Lytechinus pictus: one gene and its partners. The protein of the gene in region 2 binds, or shares a complex with, the protein of the main gene of each other region. Links are inferred from orthologs where the notes say so. Each region holds a gene or a part of one and is shown on either strand. Other genes may lie near its edges. The genes, in order: MICOS complex subunit MIC27-like, MICOS complex subunit Mic60-like and MICOS complex subunit MIC19-like.

Region 1 (7,053 bases), on a different chromosome or scaffold from region 2:
GAGAAGCATGTTGCAAAGACTACCTAGAAGGCAAACTGGGTCTTATCCCTCCTTCGTAGGAATCTCCACTTTTTCCCTGGTTTACGTCAAACGCACTGCCTATACTGCACTCGTAAGATCCCTCCTCGAGTATGCTGCAGTAGTATGGGATCCATACCTGCAAAAGGACACAAACAGACACGAAAGTGTCCAAAGGAGAGCAGTTCGCTTCAACACAGGGAACTACATGTATGTGTCTAGAGATGAGGGTTTCATCACAAACAAGCTAGCAGAACTACATCTCCCAAGCCTCAAGGAAAGAAGAAGGAACCTCAAACTCACCCTCTTCTTCAAAGTGGTCGGGAGGTTGCTGCCAGCTCTCCCAATCCAAAATTTTGCTCAACCTATAAAATCCAAACGACGTATCCGTGCCAAACAATTTGAAATCTGTGACACTACAAATAGGCAAGTGACAAATAATAACAAGTGCAACAATCCAATCAGAGCACAAACTGAACAATGAGGAACTCGTTCTCCCATCCAATATCATTGAGTGGAATCACTGAGTGACGCTGTCATCAATATTGACAAGCTCATTCAAGGCCATTGACAGAACCTTATAATCCTCACTCCGCCCTCTCTCACCCGATGTGTTTACGCTCAGGAGGGCCCTGCATCGTATACATCCAGATCCAATTAATTTTTCTTTTAATTTCTTTTTGAGTTTCAATAATTGATATTAGAGTATCCCAAAGGTCAAAGGAAGCCCCCTGTCAGCAATGAAGAGACAGGACGTCTGGAGTATGGTAGTGGATCGTATTACCGAACACTTTTCATGAATTCAGTCATATCAAACACATTATTCTCTTAAAATTCATAAATCTTTCACCAAAAATACATAATTACCTACAAAATATAAATATGTAAAAATTTTGCTGAAATCGTTTTTTTATTTTACGGTATTAGCTTCCAATCGGACCCCTCTTCGCATGAAATATTTTGGTCACTTGAAAAAGGTATGGTATTACCGAACGTGTGTTTTCTATGGGAAAAATTGAGAACCCAACAAAATCACTAATGGGCTATTTTGACCATATTTTATTATTTTTAGAATATTAAGATTTTTTGAAAATGTGCTTTTGACCATTTTTCATCATCTTTCTATTCAAGTTCTCTTTGGAAGGATGTTGCAAAGTTTAGAGCATATGAAATTATTTTCTGACGCGTACGCTGCGCGTGTGCGGTAATACAAGGCCGGTAGGTAATACAATCACTCACTATCGAACGAGGGACAGGATCCGGGTAATCTGGGGCCCGTTTCTCAACACCGTCATAAGTCTAACTTCTTGACTAAATCGGAGATAGTGAGCTACTTGTCCGCTAACCATTTCACAAAGCCCTCTTTACCAAGATCGGGTACAACAACCTCACTAAATATTTATGACACATCCGAACCTGTCATAACTTCTTTCTCGATGACGTAGTGGCATCACGTGGGTAGACTATGACATGCAAAAGTGCCTAGAAATTTTAAATTATAATCTTACGTAATCGATCATAGAGGTTGAAAAGGACATCACAAAACAAGTGGGATATGCATTCAATGATAATTGTAATACAAAGAAACTATAAAAACTGTTGGTAAAACGCCACAAAACCATTCATTTTGAAATAGTAAAATGATTTAATCGATAAAGATTCGATAAAGATTCTAGCACGTCAGGCCATCCATAACTGAACTTGTATTTGTTGTTTTCAGACCCCTATTAACAGTTGGATAAATTCTATCTCTAATTTATGCATATAATTTGTCAAATATCGTATGTTTCGGTATCAATGATTAAAAATGTTTTGTTATTCTATATTTTGATGATGTTTGGAATCGTAAGAGACCGTATAATTATAATCATTTTACAAAAAAACCCATCATGGTTTACTTTCGTAAACTATTGAAATTGGATATCCCGGGGGTACCCATCTCAACGTCCAGAAGTGATTTTTTAGTCATGAAATTAATTATTCATAATTTAATTTTCTCTGCAATTGAATGCTCTAGTCTTCATGGTCTAAGTATGTATGATGCATAATTCACCTGTGCTATTATTTTGAAAAGATTTATTTCCCAATTCATCACAATATTTGCAATTTTGTCATAATTTTTCTTTTTGAAAATTATGATATTTTGTGACTAAGGCTACGTCTAGTTTTCTCTTTTTATCGATAGTATCGATATCAAGGTATTCTAGTTAGGAAGCCTTTTGAGAAACAGGTTTAGTAAGAGTGGTTGGTGGATAAAGATATGACAAACTTGTCCAGGTGTTGAGAAACTGGCCCCAGGGGCCCGTTTCTCAACACCGTCATAAGTCTAACTTCTTGACTAAATCGGAGATAGTGAGCTACTTGTCCGCTAACCGTTTCACGAAGCCCTCTTTACCAAGATCGGGTACAACAACCTCACTAAATATTTATGACACCTCCGAACCTGTCATAACTTCTTTCTTAATGACGTATGGCATCACGTGGGTAGACTATGACATGCAAAAGTGCCTAGAAATTTTGCAATTATAATCTTACGTAATCAATCATATAGGTTGAAATTACATCACAAAACAAGTGGGTTAATGCATTCAATGATAATTGTAATACAATGAAACTATAAAAACTGTTGGTAAGACGCCACAAAACCATTCATTTTGAAATAGTAAAATGATTTAATCGATAAATATTCTACCACGTCAGGCCATCCATAACTGAACTCATATTTGTTGTTTTCAGACCCCTTTCAGACAGTTGGATAAATTCTATCTCTAATTCATGCATTCAATTTGTCAAATATCGTATGTTTCGGTATCCGCAATGATTAAAAATGTTTCATTGAACTACATTTTGATGACGTTTGGAATCGTAAAAGACCGTATAATTATCATCATTTTACAAAGAAAACCGTTATGGTTTACTTTTGTAAACTATCAAAATTGGATATCCCGGGGATACCCATCTCAACGTCCATAAGTGACTTTTTAGTCATGAAATGAATGATTCATAATTTAATTTTCTCTGTAATTGAATGATCCAGTCTTCATGGTCTAAGTATGTACGATGCATAATTCACCTGTGCTATTATTTTGAAAAGATTTATTTCCCAATTTATCACAATATTTGCAATTTTGTCATAATTTTTCTTTTTGAAAATTATGCTATTTTGTGACTAAGGCTACGTCTCGTCTGCTGTTTTTACCGATAGTATCGATATCAAGGTATTCTAGTTAGGAAGCCTTTCGAGAAACAGGTTTAGTAAGATTGGAACTAACTCCGCGGTTGGTGGATAAAGATATGACTAACTTGTCCATGTGTTGAGAAACGGGCCCCTGTAAGATACGATCATGTAAGTTAGGATAATAACAATAAGAATAAATTTAATATTCAATAAATCACCTAAATGACCTAGACTTCTAACTTAGATCTAAAAAATATAAGAAAAGTGGGAGAGTAAAGATTTAGGAAAAGAAAAAAGCCAAGGATAGAGAGGAAGGAAAAAAGAAACGAAAACTTTTTGTTTCTTGTTTTTTATCTTCATAATCTTGGAGTTGGAAAAGAAAGAAGGAAAAAAAGTAATGAACTGGCGGTAGAATATGACTGGCCGCCATTAACTATTTTATACCCAACAAACAACAACGTATCAGTATCACCTCACAAGTCTGACTGAGTCTGAGCCCGAGGTTGCGCTGAGCTGACGAAACCGAAACGGTTATCGGCGCGGCCGAGGCGAAGTTCAGATCATGGCCAGCCGGCCAAGCGGGGCCCGGGGCAGGCAAGGCTAGGTTGAGGCTCAGGTTACGGTGGCGGTACAGACAGTCAGTGCTATTACTATACATGCTATAATATGTCCAGATACCGAACTGAAAAATGTACGGTACACTGGCGCTTGTTGACTAGTCTAAAAAGGAACAATACATTTATCTACATACCCTCTACCCAATCCAGGAACATAGCCCAATGGAGCGGGCATGTTCATGAATTCCCGACGTTTCTTGTTGACGAGTGCACCGGGCGCTGCCATCTTGAACAGATATCGACTCGATTTTAAACCGGTACGGTACTTGATGACACGTACGGTACCGCCCGGATATGGAGCCCGTATATCGGTTCACGTATCCGGTTCGGTTAGTTATAGTCCACGAATTGTTTCTGAGACGAGACTGAGTCGTCAGTCGAAGATAAATCAAATTCTCTACTTGATCTAGTACTAAAGGCCCAGGGTAAAGTGTGAATTCAGCAATGTCTAGACAGGTATAGTAATACCATATTTACACAAAATTTATGATGGCGTTTATTTCTGAATACTGAGCGAAATATGCAGAGTTCTAACGTTACAATACAGTTAGGTCCTACACAAAAACAGTTTCTTCAACGAGTGGGACTGAGCTGAGCAGTGAGTGAGACTGTAAAAATATGTATGAAATAGGGGGGGGGGGGCATGTTTGACGTCTGCCTACGCTACGAATTGTTTCTGAGAGTGGTCTGAGCTAGCTGAGTTGAAGTTAAATCAAATTCTCTACGAGATCTAACGTGTTGGATCTACTAAGTCTAAAGGCCTAACCCAGCCCCAGGGAGCTCCCGCCCGCTCAGCGGGCGCCCGCTGCGCGGGCGGGAGTTCCCTGGGTTACTAAAGAGTAAAGGCCCACTCACACGTATTGCGAGGTTAGTACTAGTACTAGTATTACTAATACTACTACTAGGGACTAGGGTGTCTGAAGCCACACTAAAAAGTGTCAGCATAAAACAGGCTGATTTAGGGGAAAAAATTGCACATTTTTTCGGGAAGTTCAGGGGCCCGTTTCTCAACACCGTCATAAGTCTAACTTCTTGACTAAATCGGAGTTAGTGAGCTACTTGTCCGCTAACCGTTTCACGAAGCCCTCTTTACCAAGATCGGGTACAACAACCTCACTAAATATTTATGACACCTCCGAAGCTGTCATAACTTCTTTCTTAATGACGTAGTGGCATCACGTGGGTAGACTATGACATGCAAAATTGCCTAGATATTTGAAAATAATGATCTTACGTAATCAATCATAGAGGTTGAAATTACATCACAAAACAAGTGGGATAATGCATTAAATAATTCTAATACAAAGAAACTATGAAAACTGTTAGTAAAACGCCACAAAACCATTCAGTTTGAAATAGTGAAATGATTTAATCGATAAAGATTCTACCACGTCAGGCGCCATCCATAACTGGACTCGTATTTGTCGTTTTCAGACCCCTATTAACATTTGGATAAATTCTATCTCTAATTTATGCATAGAATTTCTCAAATTGCATGTTTCGGTATCAAATATTAAAAAAAAAATATTAAACTATAGTTTGATGATGTATGGAACCGTAGAAGGGCGTATAATTATCATCATTTTACAACGAAAAACGTTATGGTTTACTTTCGTAAACTATTAAAATTAGATGTCCCGGGGGTACCCATCTCAACGTCCACATGTGATTTTCTAGTCATGAAATGAATTATTAATAATTTAATTTTCTCAGCAACTGAATGCTCCAATCTTCATGTTCTAAGTATGTATGATCCATAATTTACATGTGCTGTTATTTTGAAAAGATGTATTTCCCAATTCATCACAATATTTGCAATTTTGTCATAATTTTTCTTTTTGAAAATTAGGCTATTTTGTGACTAAGGCTACGTCTCGTCTGCTCATTTTACCGATAGTATCGATATCAAGGTATTTTAGTTAGGAAGCCTTTCGTGAAACGGGTTTAGTAAGATTGGAACTAACTCCATGGTTGGTGGATAAAGATATGACTAACTTGTCCAGGTGTTGAGAAACGGGCCCCAGGCTGCTAGAAAAATGTGATCTGAATTGATTATTAACTTGTGTTTGGCATGTATGTATGGAAAGAGAAAATTCAGGGGCTTCTTTTGACAGTAAGGACAAGTTTATATGATCATTTTAAATAAGGATTTAGAGATAAATTGCAAACCCTTATTTGTGTGTGTGTTGAGATTGCCATTTCCCCATGCGTTTTCTATGGGAAAATGAAATGTCTGTTTTGCACAATTTTTTTCACTTTGTCACAATTTTTCATTGTGATCTGGTTTCCAAATCTTTATAAAAATCATACCATCAGAAAGAGCATAAAAAATCCTATTGGACTCTTTATGGACAAGTTTTTGGCATTCATGATAAATTTATAACACTACAGCTCTCGGAAGCTAAAAATTTGGAATTGTGTGTGTCCATTTCTTAACTACCGTACTCAGTCTATGGCAGAGAAATGCTGAAAATTGACCTAATTTCATTCTTCTTTTTTGCAGCCAATAATTTGATTTTTTCAAAAATGTTACATTTCTGTCAGTTTGAAGGTCACTTCTCTTCAAATTCACAAAGAAAATGTGATATTTTCTTGAAATAAGAAAAATAATTTTTTTTCTCCAGACACCCTACTAATACTAGTATACTAACCTCGCACCATGAACCGCGTTTGGCAGTGGATTTCTAACTAGTGGGTCGCGAATGCTGGGATCTCACTTCTGGTGTCCACAACACACGACTTCTATGGCTTGATTTTTCTGTGCGCGGTGGCATGTAATGAACCCTGGCTTGGGTGCTAAGGCCCAGAGCTGCAGAGTAAAGTGTGAATTCAACAATACAGCTGGCAGCCGTCCGTTTCAAGGAGTTTTTTTTTACATTTGTATTTTTTTTAAAATATCTCCTCGTAGTCGTACACAGACGGCTCGCGATCGTGCAGCAGCCATTAAATTAGGGTCGGAGGATAAAAATGCAAAATCCTCCCGACAGGGCTCATTGAGTTTTTTCTTTATTTCATAAAAATATATAATAAGAACGGGACCAAAATAAAGATTATTAATATTATTCTGTTTTGGCCCGAAATGCACCAAAACAGGAAAAAATAAACTTAAAAGGACAAAAACAGTGATTTACGTCGGCTGTCTCGCAACTCCTATTCCTTGGTTTGTCCGAACTTTATACATAAACATATGGTCATTGAGTCCCTGACTCCAGCTCCCTGTACAGATCGAGTTAGAACTTC
Region 2 (7,111 bases):
TCAAGAAAGAAGGCTACACAGTGTTAGACTTGTGAAAAAAGTACAGGATTGGAAGGGAGGGTGAACGAAAGAATGAAGGAGAGAAAGAAAAGAGATGAATTGAGAAGAAAGAAAGAAAAAATGTTTGAAAATGAAGGAAATAATAAAAAATATAAGAAAGTTCTAATAAAAAAAGGATGAGAGAATAAAAATAGATAAAAAGGTTTCCGTCATTCTTTGAATTGAATATAGAAAGAAAAAAAAAAGAAAAGGGAAGATGAATAAATGTGTGAAAGTCAAAATAAAGAAGAGAAAGACAAAAAGAAAGTAAGAAAAAAGGAGGAGGAAAGAAAGAATGAAGGAAAGAAAATGTTTCCTTCATTCTTGGAAAGAAAAACAAAGAAAGAAGAAAACAGGAAGGAAGGAAGGAAGGAATGAAGGAAGAAAGGGAAAGAAAGTAAAAGAGAAAAGAATAAGAAGGACAAAATGAAATAAATAATGAAAGAAAGAAAGGAGGAAAGAGAGGGAGGAAAGAATGAAGGGAGGAAAGAATGAAAAAATGAAGAAAATAATGGAAGGGAGAAGGAATGAAGGAAATAAAAAAAAAGGAAATGTAATAAAGAAGGCAATTAAGAGAAAGAAGGAAAGAAAGAAAATGAACAGAAAGAGAGAGAAAGGATCAGGAAATGAAAATAGATATGTAACAAAAAAGGGCAAGAAGGAAGGATAGATAGAAAAGAAAGAAAGAGGAAAAAGTTCAAATATCAAGCAAATAAAAACAATCCAATCATATAACAAAAATCCTAATGATATTTGGTGTTTTTTTAATATATATTTTTAAAATTAAAAAATACTAAAATGTTTTAGAAATGAATAAAATACGGGACGTCTGGTCTGGCCGAGTCAGTCCGAAGCTTGCATGCATTCAGCACGATCTAGCTCGAGACTCGGCTGGCTCGCGATCGCTCGTGTACGTCCGTACATGTACTGTAGCGCCGATGTATTAGAGCATAGAGAGCATGCGCTCAGAGGGTGAGAGAGGGGTTTCCCCAGCTAGCTCCTTCGTCGATTAGTAGCGCATGCGCACATTGTAGTTTAGAAAGTAAGATGGCAGCCCCCATCGAACGGGACCGCTGGCGATAAATTGTCGGTAAATTGGCGCTGATTTGACATCTTTCCACTGTTTTTTGACAGGTATGACATTGTATGAGAGATAATTGGCCGATAATTGCAATTTATCAAAAAATTATTAAACTTTACTGTCAATTTATCTTTTTCATTTTCAAAACAACCACTTGCCCGATCGGGCAATTGACTTTGAGAAATGCTTGCCTGCACGTCATTTTCACTTGTCCCGGGCAAGCGGGTTTGTCGCGCCCTGTTGATAGTATTGGAAAAATATTTAGTCTTCATCGTCATCTGAACCTTTTATTTCGGAATGACGACTTTTCATAAAATCATATATTTCAATAAAAGGGGATCAAATAATGTTTTATTTAGTACTGATTGTAGAATTGATGTATGGAGCGTACTTTATGAGGTAAAAAGAAAAAAATTCAAGATTCACAAACATAACTGGATAAAATCGAAATTTTCATTATTTCCCTTATTTAGAACACTGTATCCTTTTAGAGACACCTTTCATTGATATTTCAACGAAAGAGACTCTTGTCCGACATAAAAATTGATCTAACTAAGTAATTTCGACATTTTATTAGTTCAATATACTGATTTTTTATAGAATACATATATATAATGATGATTTTGCAAATTATGCGTTAATATGTTATTTGTTGAGGTAAAAATAGGGTTTGAATGGAGTAAACAAAATCAACAGTGTCTGATTGTATGAGACTAAAAAGGAAAATATGAGAGGATGCCTGTGAAAAATCTAATTCATTTATTTTATTTGTCACATATAACGCAAGAAATACAAATGTGAGTGTTTAGAGTATAAACATACATGTACCTCAGTTGCATGATGAGTAACCGAAGACAAGGAAAATATGAAAATTGCTGCAAACATGTCCAAGTGGATAAAGTAGTGCTTTGCAATAACAATTAAAACATAGAAAAAGGTGTGCAATCCGCAATGGAAAAAATACTATTTACAGAAATAATGCTAAATATTACAATGATCATAAACGTTGGCATAGTTTAAAGTTGATCACTTAATTTATGGAAGCTTATATAAGAATATAAGGTTTGACCTGTGACCGATCGCGATCGCATGCGATGTTTTGAAATCAGCCGTGAATAATACGTGTGAGGAGAAAGATACTGGCCCAAAATCACCAATTTTGAGGATAACCAGAGGATGGAAACGGAGTGAAATACAGGTGTAGAGTAAGATATTAAGTTATTCATCTTTCTTGTTATATTTTTTTTCTTTAATTTTTACGATAAACATGATTTCCATCCCACCTTTGTGACTCAGTATATCCGAACTGGTTCACCGTCTCGATATTCGTGTAGGTGGAGCGTAGTGTAGCGGTAGTGAAGTGGAGTGGAGCCTGCACGAACATCGCTCGAGGTAGATATAATCTAACCTTGTTCTCTGACTTTGTTACTACTCCCTGTGTGGTGAAATAAGGTTGGCAATGTTTGGCTTACGCCTTACTTTTCTCTTTTTCTTTGGGAAAAATGCATGATTTTTTTACACTGTCAGTTTCCATTACAGCTATTCATCATATAACCTGGCTCTTGAGTAAATTTGATTCTTTAAATTATTTTTTCTTAATTTAAAACAGAGATTGAAAAATGACAATTGTCTTGCCATATTACTTTCCACCAATAGAGGGCGTACAAAAAAATATGCCCAAAATTCAAGTTTTCGAGCGCTCTGGTGAATACAAAAATTACTCCCAAGTTACTAATGAAAAATAAATTGCAACGTGTAATCGTGTATGGAAATAAGTATTTTTGGTCACAAAAGTGATATTTTAATGATTTCTTTTTTATTGTGTGTTGTGTACTGCATTGGCATACCATCAGTAGAGGTGCACGGCCAATATGGGAGACTGTCTCCCATGAGAGAGATTATCCCAATATTAGAGACTTTTTTAAAGAATTTGGGTATCCAATTTCAGAGACAGTCTCCAGTTTGGGAGGCCAATTTCCTTCGTTTACATTTGCTGCAAGAGGATTACCTTCCTGGCAAATAAAAATGTGATAAGCAGATTCCTCATGAAAAATTACCCCTTTTCAACGTCTTCTTTAAAAATTCACGGACTACTTTTGTTTTTAGAAGGATTTTTGTTGTCATCCACACACAAAACAAATGGGCTTCTGACCTCAGTGAGACAAAATTTTGGGTGGAAAAAATTACGCTTTTGTTGGTGTTGTTTCTTTTGTTCTTTTGCAAAGCAAGTCTCCAATGTGGGAGATTGTCTCCCATATTGGAGAGAGTCTCCCATATTGGCCGTGCGGGTAGTCCTACCTGTAGATTCCCCACAGGCAGGGTGGTTGCAATGAGCAAGTGCAAGCACATAGAGGCAGGCCGTTGTTTTCACTCGCCTTACAATAAAGAAGCTTAGTGTTTGGAATCCAGTTTGCATAAATCAAGTTGCAATGCCAGGTAATTCAAATGACTTATTACAATTTTGGGACTTCTGATTGCTCATTGGGTGATTTCAAGTTCAGTGTTGACCTTTTGGTGTTGGTGTTAGGTCAATTTTTACACGATTATAACACCAAACATAAAATGGAGATGGTCCCGAAAAGTCACTCACTAGTTGATGAGATGTCAATAATGTGATCTGGATCAGTTTTACAAACTCTGAATAAGTTTCGGAGCTAGGGGAAGCAATCCAAATTCCAACACCAACACCAAGGCCAACACCGGACTTGAAATCACCCATTGGCTTCTTCTGGAAGTTAATAATCGGTAAGCTTCTATCAATTTCAGATTATTTTACAAATGAGTCTCAAAAACAATTCCAAACAACCCCTTCCATGTATGTACCTAAAAATTGCAACCGATTAATCTATTTTGTTATCCTTTGTTGTTGGTAGGCATGTAATTGTCGGACGGCCAATCGGGTGAGCTCCAATTCTGGAGGACAATGCAGTTATTGTTCAAAGCCCAGCTCGGCCCCTGCTGGAGCTCCTAAATCAGCCCCTCCACCGCCACCACCACCGCCACCATCTGCACCAAAGAGGTAAGTCTGTTGAATCAAAACACGATTGTATTGAAGGCCTGTATTAAAATAAAAAAAAATGATTTGGTCAAAATGGCACATGGCAGAACTTTTTTTTAGGCGATTCCCTGTGTATGCTTTGTAGACTAATTGAGAAATTTACTGTATAGGCAATGCTTCTGTGAATGAATTAGTTTCAGTGAACATTGTGAATTAAATGCCAGTAATTGGAAAGTTGATTCACAATATAAACTAAGATTAATTTGTGTGCGGTGTATCCCCAAAACTTATGAACCAAAATTCAGGGATGAATACCAGAGTAATAACACAGATGTACTATACCCATGTTGATTTTCACATTAAAAATGAAATGATAGGTGTCATTTTAAAACCTGTCTAAAATGTTGCCAAACATTAAAAAAAGAAATTTATAGAAGATTATTATTTCAAGTATTCCAATTTTTGTGTATGATATGTTCACTTTGTATCATACTGGCTGCCATCACCCATGATGTATCAAAGTGAGATGATCCGTTGGTGAGGTACATGCCTCCTTGTGTTGGATAAATCTTGCCCAAGCTGTGATACTGAGGGGGCTGCGTAACATATACCATGCAGTGAATACATAACCAAATGTATATGTATGTGTGTGCTCGTAATCTTCATTCCATATGATGGAGGCATTGAATAATATGAAGCATTTCTACTCCATGCTGACTGCGGAGTCAGCAAATACCCTTCACCTTGCACTTTAAATGTTTAACCCCCAAATAGGCAGAATCATTAAACTTTCCCAGGACAATCAACAAGTGTAAAAATGGTAAAACGGGCACCGTTTCAAGGCGATTCGGTGACTGTCTGTAGGAAAAAGCGTCAACAAAACAACAGACAGACATATATAGACACATGCACCAGATTAGCCAAAGATTGCATGTTTTACACAACATGTGTTTTGTGATACTCTTTTTTTAAAATTTTTATTATATCAAACAGTCAGTTTAAAGCGTAGACCTGAATGATCTTTAGATTTACACAACTATCATATGGATTTGAAGTCATGATTTGATTGTTTTGTTCTTGTAGGTCTGGTGGTGCGGGGAAGGTCATCATGGGCGGTCTATTGGTAGGAGTAGGAGCGACCGTTGGCACGTTAGCCTACGCCAAGGCAAACCCTGAATTCAGGAAGCAGGTGGAGAGTAACTGGCCTTTGCTCCTGGACGTCTTTCCTTACTTCTTCGATGAGGATGCATCGCCGGCAGAGACCGGCAAGTCTAAAGCAGATACCATGTCTCTTGGCGGAGGAAAGAAACCGTTGATACCCACCAGGTAGGTCTTAACACGAAAGTCCCCTTCCGCATCACCGATCTTTGAGGCTGGTTGTTTCTTCAATTTTATTGAACAGTTGTAGAGAAAATGATGTTGTTGATGATGATGGGTTCTTGTATAGGGTCGATATCCGCCTCTGCTGGGCGCTCATGGCCCTTGCTCAAAAATAGGAAATGTCTCACAAATTTCAAATTTTAATTGTGTCATGTAACAGATAGCTCAAGCTTAGCTCGAGCTAAAGCTTGGTTTCTAATAATAGTGTACCTCGGATTAGATTATTTCTCGATAGATGGCACTATATAAATGTCTATTCCTCTTCTTACCTCTTTTTCTTCTTCCTTTTCTTATAATTGTTGTTATTATTATCATTATTATTAAATCAAGAGAAAAGTTCATTTTGAAAAAAAAAATTGTTTCCTGTTGTCATTGGATAGTGGGATAATGAGGGTGAATATGAATAATGAAGATATGTTTAATAAAGAATCTTTAGCAAGATAGCCAGATGCAAAATGGCATTTTGCCATATCTGTTATAGAAAAGGATTGATAGTGACAAAAGAAGAACATATGCAGGAGAGTGACTGATGAGGTGAATAGTATCTATTGAAACTGAATCAAATAGGCCGGTTTACCATATGGGTGTTCCTTTCTTTGGAGCCTAGTTACAATGTATTCATCCAACCTGTCAGTAATAAGGCATCACTACTGTATTTGGAATCCAATGTGTACATGTATGTATCATCTGTTGCTATGTCTGGCAAATCTCTGACAATTTTTTGGGGTTGTCAGGAGCAACCTGTGTTCAGAAATATGCATACAATTTTTATACATATGTATGTTAATCGACAGATCTATGAGTGAATTTGATTTTTTAAAGCACTGCAACATATGGTGGCCACGATGGGGGGGGGGGGGGCTTCCAAAGAAGTACTTTTAATGGGATATTCAATAAACCAGGTGTGTTGCTATGTCAGTAAATACATTATCTTTTGATAAGACATGAAGCCCCTCCAGATAGAAATTACCATAAAAACAGCAACCAAACCAAACCATATTGGTCTGTACTAAACTGAACTGAATAATTGTTCAACAAAAAAAATCTAAATATCCAAGTATTTATTCCTACATTGTGTTGTCTCCATCATGCCAGTATTTATCAAGCGCGCATCTCTATTTTTTTCTTCTTTGTAGCTCACCAAAAACCATCACTCCCGTCAGTGAGGCACCACTTGCTGTATCTAAACCAGTAAGTACATATCTGTTGATATTCACTAGATGTAGTTTCAAATATGAGAAGATGTGTAAATTATGAAGGAGCATGTAGTTCATGATGATTACTTTTTGTCTCGCCCACCAGAGGTGTAGGCGAGACTTAGGGATCCAAATGTTGTCCGTCCGTCCGTCACAAACCATATGACACATAACTCTGCAACTGTAAGTCACTTTTCACCCAAACTTGGGTTGTAGATGTACTGAGGAGACCTGCATGTCATGGCGCAATCAGAGGTCACATGGTTAGGTCAAAGGTCATTTTGAGGTCAATGATGTGACACATAACTCTGCAACTGTAAGTCACTTTTATACCAAACCTGGGTTGTAGGTGTACTTAGGAGACCTGCATGTTATTGTGTTTGGAGGTCTCATGGTAAGGTCAAAGTTCATTTTTAG
Region 3 (7,812 bases), on a different chromosome or scaffold from region 2:
AAAGGAGGCGACGCAAGTGTCAATGGAGGTTTTTAAAAAGAATAAACTGTACTACAAATTTAAAAGGAGGCGAGGCAAGTTTCAATGGAGGTTTTTAAAAAGAAAAAACTGTACTACAAATTATGAAGCCAATTTAAAAGGAGGTGAGACAAGTTTCAATGGAGGTTTTTAAAAAGAATAAACTGTATATGGTGAAGCCAATTTAAAAGGAGGTGAGGCAAGTTTTAATGGAGGTTTTTAAAAAGAATAAACTGTATTATGGTGAAGCCAGTTTAAAAGGAGGTGAGGCAAGTTTCAATGGAGGTTTTTAAAAAAGAATAAACTGTAGGATGGGGGGTCGGGTGTCCGGACACTTTATATTTTTGAAGCCTTCTTTTTTGTCTTTGGATTACACTAAAAATATGAATTCAATAGTTGTAATCATCTTCCATTTTGGTCGCTATAATATTTCCTTACATTTTGCACTAAACATTGATGAAACTTCGCTTGTAAATTTTTCCAAATGACTTTCTAAAATTGATCGTCCGGACACACAACCTGTCCGGACACACAACAACTGGGTATACTACAAATTTAAAAGGAGGCGACGCAAGTTTCAATAGAGGTTTTTAAAAAGAATAAACTGTACTACAAATTATGGTGAAGCCAATTTAAAAGGAGGTGAGGCAAGTTTCAATGGAGGTTTTTAAAAAAGAATAAACTGTACTACAAATTTAAAAGGAGGCGACGCAAGTGTCAATGGAGGTTTTTAAAAAGAATAAACTGTACTACAAATTTAAAAGGAGGCGAGGCAAGTTTCAATGGAGGTTTTTAAAAAGAATAAACTGTACTACAAATTATGGTGAAGCTAATTTAAAAGGAGGTGAGGCAAGTGTCAATGGAGGTTTTTAAAAAGAAGAAACTGTACTACAAATTTAAAAGGAGGCGAGGCAAGTTTCGATGGAGGTTCTTAAAAAGAATAATAATGAACTGTACTACAAATTATGGTGAAGCCAATTTAAAAGGAGGTGAGGCAAGTTTCAATGGAGGTTTTTAAAAAGAATAAACTGTATTACAAATTATGGTGAAGCCAATTTAAAAGGAGGTGAGGCAATTAGTTAATGGAGGTTTTTTAAAAGAATAAACTGTATTACAAGTTATGGTGAAGGCAATTTGAGAGGAGGTGAGGCATGTCTACAATGATTTTTTTTAAAGAATGATAAGTGTAGAATATAATTCAAATGATGAAGCAAGTTATGACATTTTAAAGTTTTGCTTAATTAAAAAAAACAGTTATATGCACATCCTGGTCTGTATGCACCTGAGGAGACTGATGACGTCATCCTCTCACTATTTCTTTTGTATTTTATTATAGGAAATATGAAATATTCCAAGTTTCTCCTTAATGTCAAGTGATACAACGATTAATTCCTCCCTGAACATGTGGAATTAGCTTTGTTTAATACTATATGGTTCAGTCAAGTATAGTGGGATGATAATGATGATGAGGAACAGGGCCGGTATTCAATGCTACTCTTAAAGCCACAATTTCAAGTATATTTTACTCAGTATTTTGCAAAAGTAAAATACTTATCCATCTTTGGTATTCAATTGCATTTTTTTTGGGCTAAATATTTTGCTTAAATGTAAGTCAGCCATCTACTAGACTTAAGTCTACATATACAAAAATGATACGCACAGAAATACATTCACACATTTGGCACTATTTGGCTCAAAATTTATAACATCACAATGGGTATTAGTATTTAGTTCAATTTGGATAAGGTAAATTCTGAGATCTGATCTGCATACAAGTTTAAGCATTTTGATAAGCCAGCCAAATTGCTAAGTAAAATACTTACAAAATCAAAACTGAGAATTTAATAGGCGGCCGAGGTATTATTTTCTTCCAGCAGAGGACATGTACAGATTTCTTGTTGACAAAGGATGACATGATGATTATTTTGCAAAACATGGCTTATTAAAAAATATATTATATATATTCCATTTCAGTGACAATTGCATTTTTGGGGAGGGGATATTACGTATTTGGGAATGGAAAAGTTCAAAATTAATGCAAACTTAACCTATTTACGCAGGGGGGGGGGGGGGGGCTCTGAGCTCTGCGATTTAAAAAAAAAGAAGTCTTTTGCATGTTTTGAGACCAGTTTTGCGAAGCCCGGGTACTGGGTTCTGAAAATTACCAAACAATTTGTAAGTGCATATCAGACAAAAATGGCTCAAAATTGTGATATTTGTGTACCACGTCAATGGAATATGCGTTTTCAACCAAAATTCATGAATGCCTAATTGTTTTTAGTTTTGTTGAACTAAACTGTTTATTTTATGCTGTTACGAGAGTCCGAGCATCGTTGAAAAAAACAATGCAATACAAAGGTAAAAACACAAGAAATACGTTATCGAAGAACACCACAAAGAGTTTCTAAACCAAAAATTAGAAAATTTGGAGCTTTATTTAGGGAGTTAGAGGAATAGGTATAGTATACTAATTATGCACAAATGAGCATAATCAATTAATAGCAATTTGCATGAAATAAATAACTACACAATTTTGTGGATTATTAAAAGCAATTGCGATCTTTTTCTTCACTATTCATTGTTTTTAGAAACCTCATTGTAGACTTGCCTCATGCACCTCTCAAGATGGCTTCATCATTTGAATTATATTCTACACTTATCATTCTTTAAAAAAAATCATTGTAGACATGCCTCACCTCCTCTCAAATTGCCTTCACCATAACTTGTAATACAGTTTATTCTTTTTAAAAACCTCCATTAACTAATTGCCTCACCTCCTTTTAAATTGGCTTCACCATAATTTGTAATACAGTTTATTCTTTTTAAAAACCTCCATTGAAACTTGCCTCACCTCCTTTTAAATTGGCTTCACCATAATTTGTAGTACAGTTTTTTCTTTTTAAAAACCTCCATTGAAACTTGCCTCGCCTCCTTTTAAATTTGTAGTACAGTTTATTCTTTTTAAAAACCTCCATTGACACTTGCGTCGCCTCCTTTTAAACTGGCTTCACCATATACAGTTTATTCTTTTTAAAAACCTCCATTGAAACTTGCCTCACCTCCTTTTAAATTGGCTTCACCATAATTTGTAGTACAGTTTTTTCTTTTTAAAAACCTCCATTGAAACTTGCCTCGCCTCCTTTTAAATTTGTAGTACAGTTTATTCTTTTTTAAAAACTACCATTGAAACTTGCCTCACCTCCTTTTAAATTGGCTTCACCATAATTTGTAGTACAGTTTATTCTTTTTAAAAACCTCCATTGAAACTTGCCTCACCTCCTTTTAAACTGGCTTCACCATATACAGTTTATTCTTTTTAAAAACCTCCATTGAAACTTGCCTCACCTCCTTTTAAATTGGCTTCACCATAATACAGTTTATTCTTTTTAAAAACCTCCATTAAAACTTGCCTCACCTCCTTTTAAATTGGCTTCACCATAATTTGTAGTACAGTTTATTCTTTTTAAAAACCTCCATTGAAACTTGCCTCACCTCCTTTTAAATTGGCTTCACCATAATTTGTAGTACAGTTTATTCTTTTTAAAAACCTCAATTGAAACTTGCCTCGCCTCCTTTTAAATTTGTAGTACAGTTTATTCTTTTTAAAAACCTCCATTGACACTTGCGTCGCCTCCTTTTAAATTTGTAGTACAGTTTATTCTTTTTTAAAAACTACCATTGAAACTTGCCTCACCTCCTTTTAAATTGGCTTCACCATAATTTGTAGTACAGTTTATTCTTTTTAAAAACCTCCATTGAAACTTGCCTCACCTCCTTTTAAACTGGCTTCACCATATACAGTTTATTCTTTTTAAAAACCTCCATTGAAACTTGCCTCACCTCCTTTTAAATTGGCTTCACCATAATACAGTTTATTCTTTTTAAAAACCTCCATTAAAACTTGCCTCACCTCCTTTTAAATTGGCTTCACCATAATTTGTAGTACAGTTTATTCTTTTTAAAAACCTCCATTGAAACTTGCCTCACCTCCTTTTAAATTGGCTTCACCATAATTTGTAGTACAGTTTATTCTTTTTAAAAACCTCAATTGAAACTTGCCTCGCCTCCTTTTAAATTTGTAGTACAGTTTATTCTTTTTAAAAACCTCCATTGACACTTGCGTCGCCTCCTTTTAAATTTGTAGTACAGTTTATTCTTTTTTAAAAACTTCCATTGAAACTTGCCTCACCTCCTTTTAAATTGGCTTCACCATAATTTATTCTTTTAAAAAAACCTCCATTGAAACTTGCCTCACCTCCTTTCAAATTGGCTTCACCATATACAGTTTATTCTTTTTAAAAACCTCCATTGAAACTTGCCTCACCTCCTTTTAAATTGGCTTCACCATAATACAGTTTATTCTTTTTAAAAACCTCCATTGAAACTTGCCTCACCTCCTTTTAAATTGGCTTCACCATAATATTCAGGTAAGGTATTCATTCTTTTTTTAAAAACATCATTGTTCACTTCCCTCACCTAGATCATTTGGCTATATATATATAATACCTTTTATTCTACACTATTCTTCCCTTTAAAAAAAAACCTGATTGTACTCCTGCCTCCCCTGATCTGACATTTGCCTCTCAACGTACTGTACATATAGTGTTATTTTATTATCTCTTTATATCGGAAACTTCGTTTTACCGAATTGCCATGCACTCTCTCCGACGCGTTTGAAGTCTTAGACAGCATGGAATACTACCAGCCGATGGTACACACACGCACACACACACACGTTATTTGACAACTTGTCTCTGGAGCCAAAGTTCCTCGCATATAACTATCTGCATGCCTGCACGCAGTGTGTATTGAAAACGCACGACCACGATCTAATGAATATTCATCGGCGAGAGTGACGTCATTTTACGAGTCTCCTTTCAAACTTGGATCATAAGTGCCTACCGCTTCGAATTCGCGACATCGACACTAGTATTATCTATAGTATTAGTAGTATAGGTAGATCGCCAAGAAAGGTCGCTTTCACTTTAATTTACCTTCTGCAAATATGGGAGGGAGTAGTAGTACTAGTAGCCCTGGGAGAAGAATTAGTTTAGAACAAGATGCTGACGGAGGAGTAGTTAAAGTGAGTGAATATATTACTTGTTTCTGACTTTCTCGGCTCGGTCTAGGGTCCCTAAAACTAAAGTAAAAGCTCCGGGCCGCTGCGCGGGTTACGTCTAACGTTAACTAGTTAACGTTAGACGTAACCCGCGCAGCGGCCCGGAGCCCAGGGCCAGGGGCTTACCGTGTAATTCGCCATACCCCACGGTAGTAGCGTGAGGTATGGTCTAAATCATTTTAAGAGTAAATACTTAAAACAGAAATTAAGCACTTACCACGATTATATGGATGAAGGTCTAACGAGTGGCAGCTTCCTGACATCGATGCACAGACTGGAACCTCAAATTAACGAAAAGTTCTGTCGCGGTAGGCCCCTAGACAGTAGACCAAAAGCTTCGGTCTCTGTTAGTGTTATGTTGGTTGTTCAGCTGAACTCCGTTGGCTTCACTCACCAAATACAGAGACCGAAGTTCTAGCGCGATCTGTACAGGGGACTCAATGGCCATATGTTTAAGTTCGGATAAAACAGGGCAGTGAAGTTGCACGACAGCCAAGGTAAGTCACTGTTTTTGTTCCTTTTAACTTGATTTTCCCCGTTTTTTGGCAATTAATGCCAAGAGGGAATATTAATTTGCATTTCGGTTGCGTTAATTTTCAAAAGTTTGATTCATTAAAGACAAAAATTGAAGAGCCCCGACGGGGGGATTTTGCATTGTAAGTCCCCTAATGGTGGCTGCACGATAGTGAGCCGTCTGTGTAACTATGAGGAGAAATTTAAAAAATAAAAAAATGTTAAAAAACTCCTCGAAACAGACAGCTGCCAGCTGTCTACATTGGTCTACTGTCGCGGTAGCTCTCCTTCTTTCAAAATTCAAAACAAAATGGCCGATCGAGACAGGCTATAGCACTAGCGCATATAGACTTCGTCAAATTCGCGCATGTGCCCTACACCCTCGGTACTGGTCTCGAACGGCCATTTTGCTATGAATTCTGAAAGAAGGAGAGCTACCGCGACAGAACTTTTCGTTTTTTGAGGTTCCAGTCTGTGCCTCGATGTCAGGAAGCTGCCACTCGTTAGACCTTCATCCATATAATCGTGGTAAGTGCTTAATTTCTGTTATAATATAAGTATTTACTCTTAAAATGATTTAGACCATACCTCACGCTACTACCACTACCGTGGGGTATGGCGAATTACACAGTAAGCCCCTGGGCTCCGGCCCGCTGTGCGGGCCGGAGCTCCCTGGGTTACGTTAGACGTAGACCAAAAGCTTCGGTCTCTGTTGTGTTGGTTGTTCTGCTGGGGCCTGTTGCATGAAAGGGTCTTTCGTAGAACCATTCTACGGAAGAACGAGATATCGCTCAACTGTTTCACAAAGCCGATTTGGGCGATACGAAGAATGGTCCTTGGAAAGACACCTCCAGACATGTCCTACGTAGCCGTAGGCTAGACAGGAATAACCATAACCGTCGTTTCTTGGGATTTATTCAACATTTTCTGACATTTTACTATATTGGTGAGACTGTCTGAGAGAGCCAACTCGGTCAGACTCAGTTCAGCGGAACAACCAAAGCAAAATACAGAGACTGAAGCTTTTGTTCTATACGTAGGCATGATCTTCTTTGCACACCGCCCGCCACCGTCGGCATTGAGAATGAGAGAAAATACGTTTACGGCAAGCCACATTGACATATCATCTTTAACATTTTTGGGGTTGCACACTGATGCATTTTATCTGGGATGGCGCCAAGTTATTTTTTTGCACGGCAAGTCGACCAAAAACGGATGTCATTTTAACTTCTCCGGGGTATTTTGTCCGGGGGTAATGTAGGCCCAAATATTTTTTTAATATGTTTTCTTTTATTCTCCCTCCGTCCTATCCCCACACCATTTCCATTAATTTTTTTTTAAATATCGAAATGGGCGGCACTATCTTTCTGACCCCTCAATGCTTTCTCATTAAAGATAATTAAACAACATGAAAACAAATTTCTTTAAAGAAAAAAAAACTTGGTAAAAAACTTGTTTATAACGTTCAGCAAAAAAAAAACACGATACAAAACTAAAATGTTAAACATGGTAAATCATTTATTTATTTTTATTTCATTTTTATGATTATAATTATTGTTTTTTGCAGAGATTAATTTTAATGAATGAAAATTAATTGTCGGATTTGGGCTAACTTGAGATGTGAAAGAGTGAAACAAAACAAAAAATCTGCAGTAACAAAAAAGCTAATTGAATTTAAGATACAGATTGGTCTATAGCTTTCGAATCCATCACAATCATTACAAATGAAGATAAGTTCATTAAAGAAAAGATTATGGAAAGTCCATACGAAGAAGCGCATTTTAAATCGTAGGGTAGGCCCCTTTCGGCCCCTATGTAATGTTAATAATGTAGTCTCTTCTCAACTTTGACATGTTGAACATATATATTTTTTATATTCTTATATAAGCTTCCATAAATTAAGTGATCAACTTTAAAGATGACCAACATTTATGATCATTGTAATTTGTTAGCATTATTTCTGTAAATAGTATTTTTTCCATTGCGGATTGCACACCTTTTTGTATGTTTTAATTATTATTGCAAAGCACTATATCCACTTGGACATGTTTGCAGCAATTTTCATATATTCCTTGTCTTCGGTTACTCATCATGCAACAGAGGCAGGGTGCTACATAACTTTTTTGAAGCACTTGCCCAGTCGGGCAAGTAAATTTTCAAAT

What was found.
Region 1: MICOS complex subunit Mic60-like (region 2) and MICOS complex subunit MIC27-like share a complex: the UniProt entries of both Homo sapiens proteins name them as parts of the mitochondrial contact site and cristae organizing system (MICOS) complex. The link is inferred for Lytechinus pictus from reciprocal best matches to the Homo sapiens genes IMMT and APOOL.
Region 3: MICOS complex subunit Mic60-like (region 2) and MICOS complex subunit MIC19-like share a complex: the UniProt entries of both Homo sapiens proteins name them as parts of the mitochondrial contact site and cristae organizing system (MICOS) complex. The link is inferred for Lytechinus pictus from reciprocal best matches to the Homo sapiens genes IMMT and CHCHD3.

What each region holds. Positions count from the first base shown.
Region 1 is NC_087245.1:8,321,541-8,328,593, reverse strand, and holds the start of MICOS complex subunit MIC27-like, read left to right. Parts: upstream 1-3,941; 5' UTR 3,942-3,947; coding exon of another isoform or gene 3,948-4,039; 5' UTR 4,040-4,257; coding exon 4,258-4,269; intron 4,270-7,053. Other genes in the region: pre-mRNA-processing factor 6-like, read right to left, coding at 3,948-4,039. UniProt on the Homo sapiens protein: Component of the MICOS complex, a large protein complex of the mitochondrial inner membrane that plays crucial roles in the maintenance of crista junctions, inner membrane architecture, and formation of contact sites to the outer membrane.
Region 2 is NC_087256.1:25,317,245-25,324,355, forward strand, and holds the start of MICOS complex subunit Mic60-like, read left to right. Parts: upstream 1-3,998; 5' UTR 3,999-4,139; intron 4,140-5,201; 5' UTR 5,202-5,226; coding exon 5,227-5,444; intron 5,445-6,634; coding exon 6,635-6,689; intron 6,690-7,111. UniProt on the Homo sapiens protein: Component of the MICOS complex, a large protein complex of the mitochondrial inner membrane that plays crucial roles in the maintenance of crista junctions, inner membrane architecture, and formation of contact sites to the outer membrane.
Region 3 is NC_087247.1:64,770,370-64,778,181, reverse strand, and holds the start of MICOS complex subunit MIC19-like, read left to right. Parts: upstream 1-4,790; 5' UTR 4,791-5,023; coding exon 5,024-5,101; intron 5,102-7,812. UniProt on the Homo sapiens protein: Component of the MICOS complex, a large protein complex of the mitochondrial inner membrane that plays crucial roles in the maintenance of crista junctions, inner membrane architecture, and formation of contact sites to the outer membrane.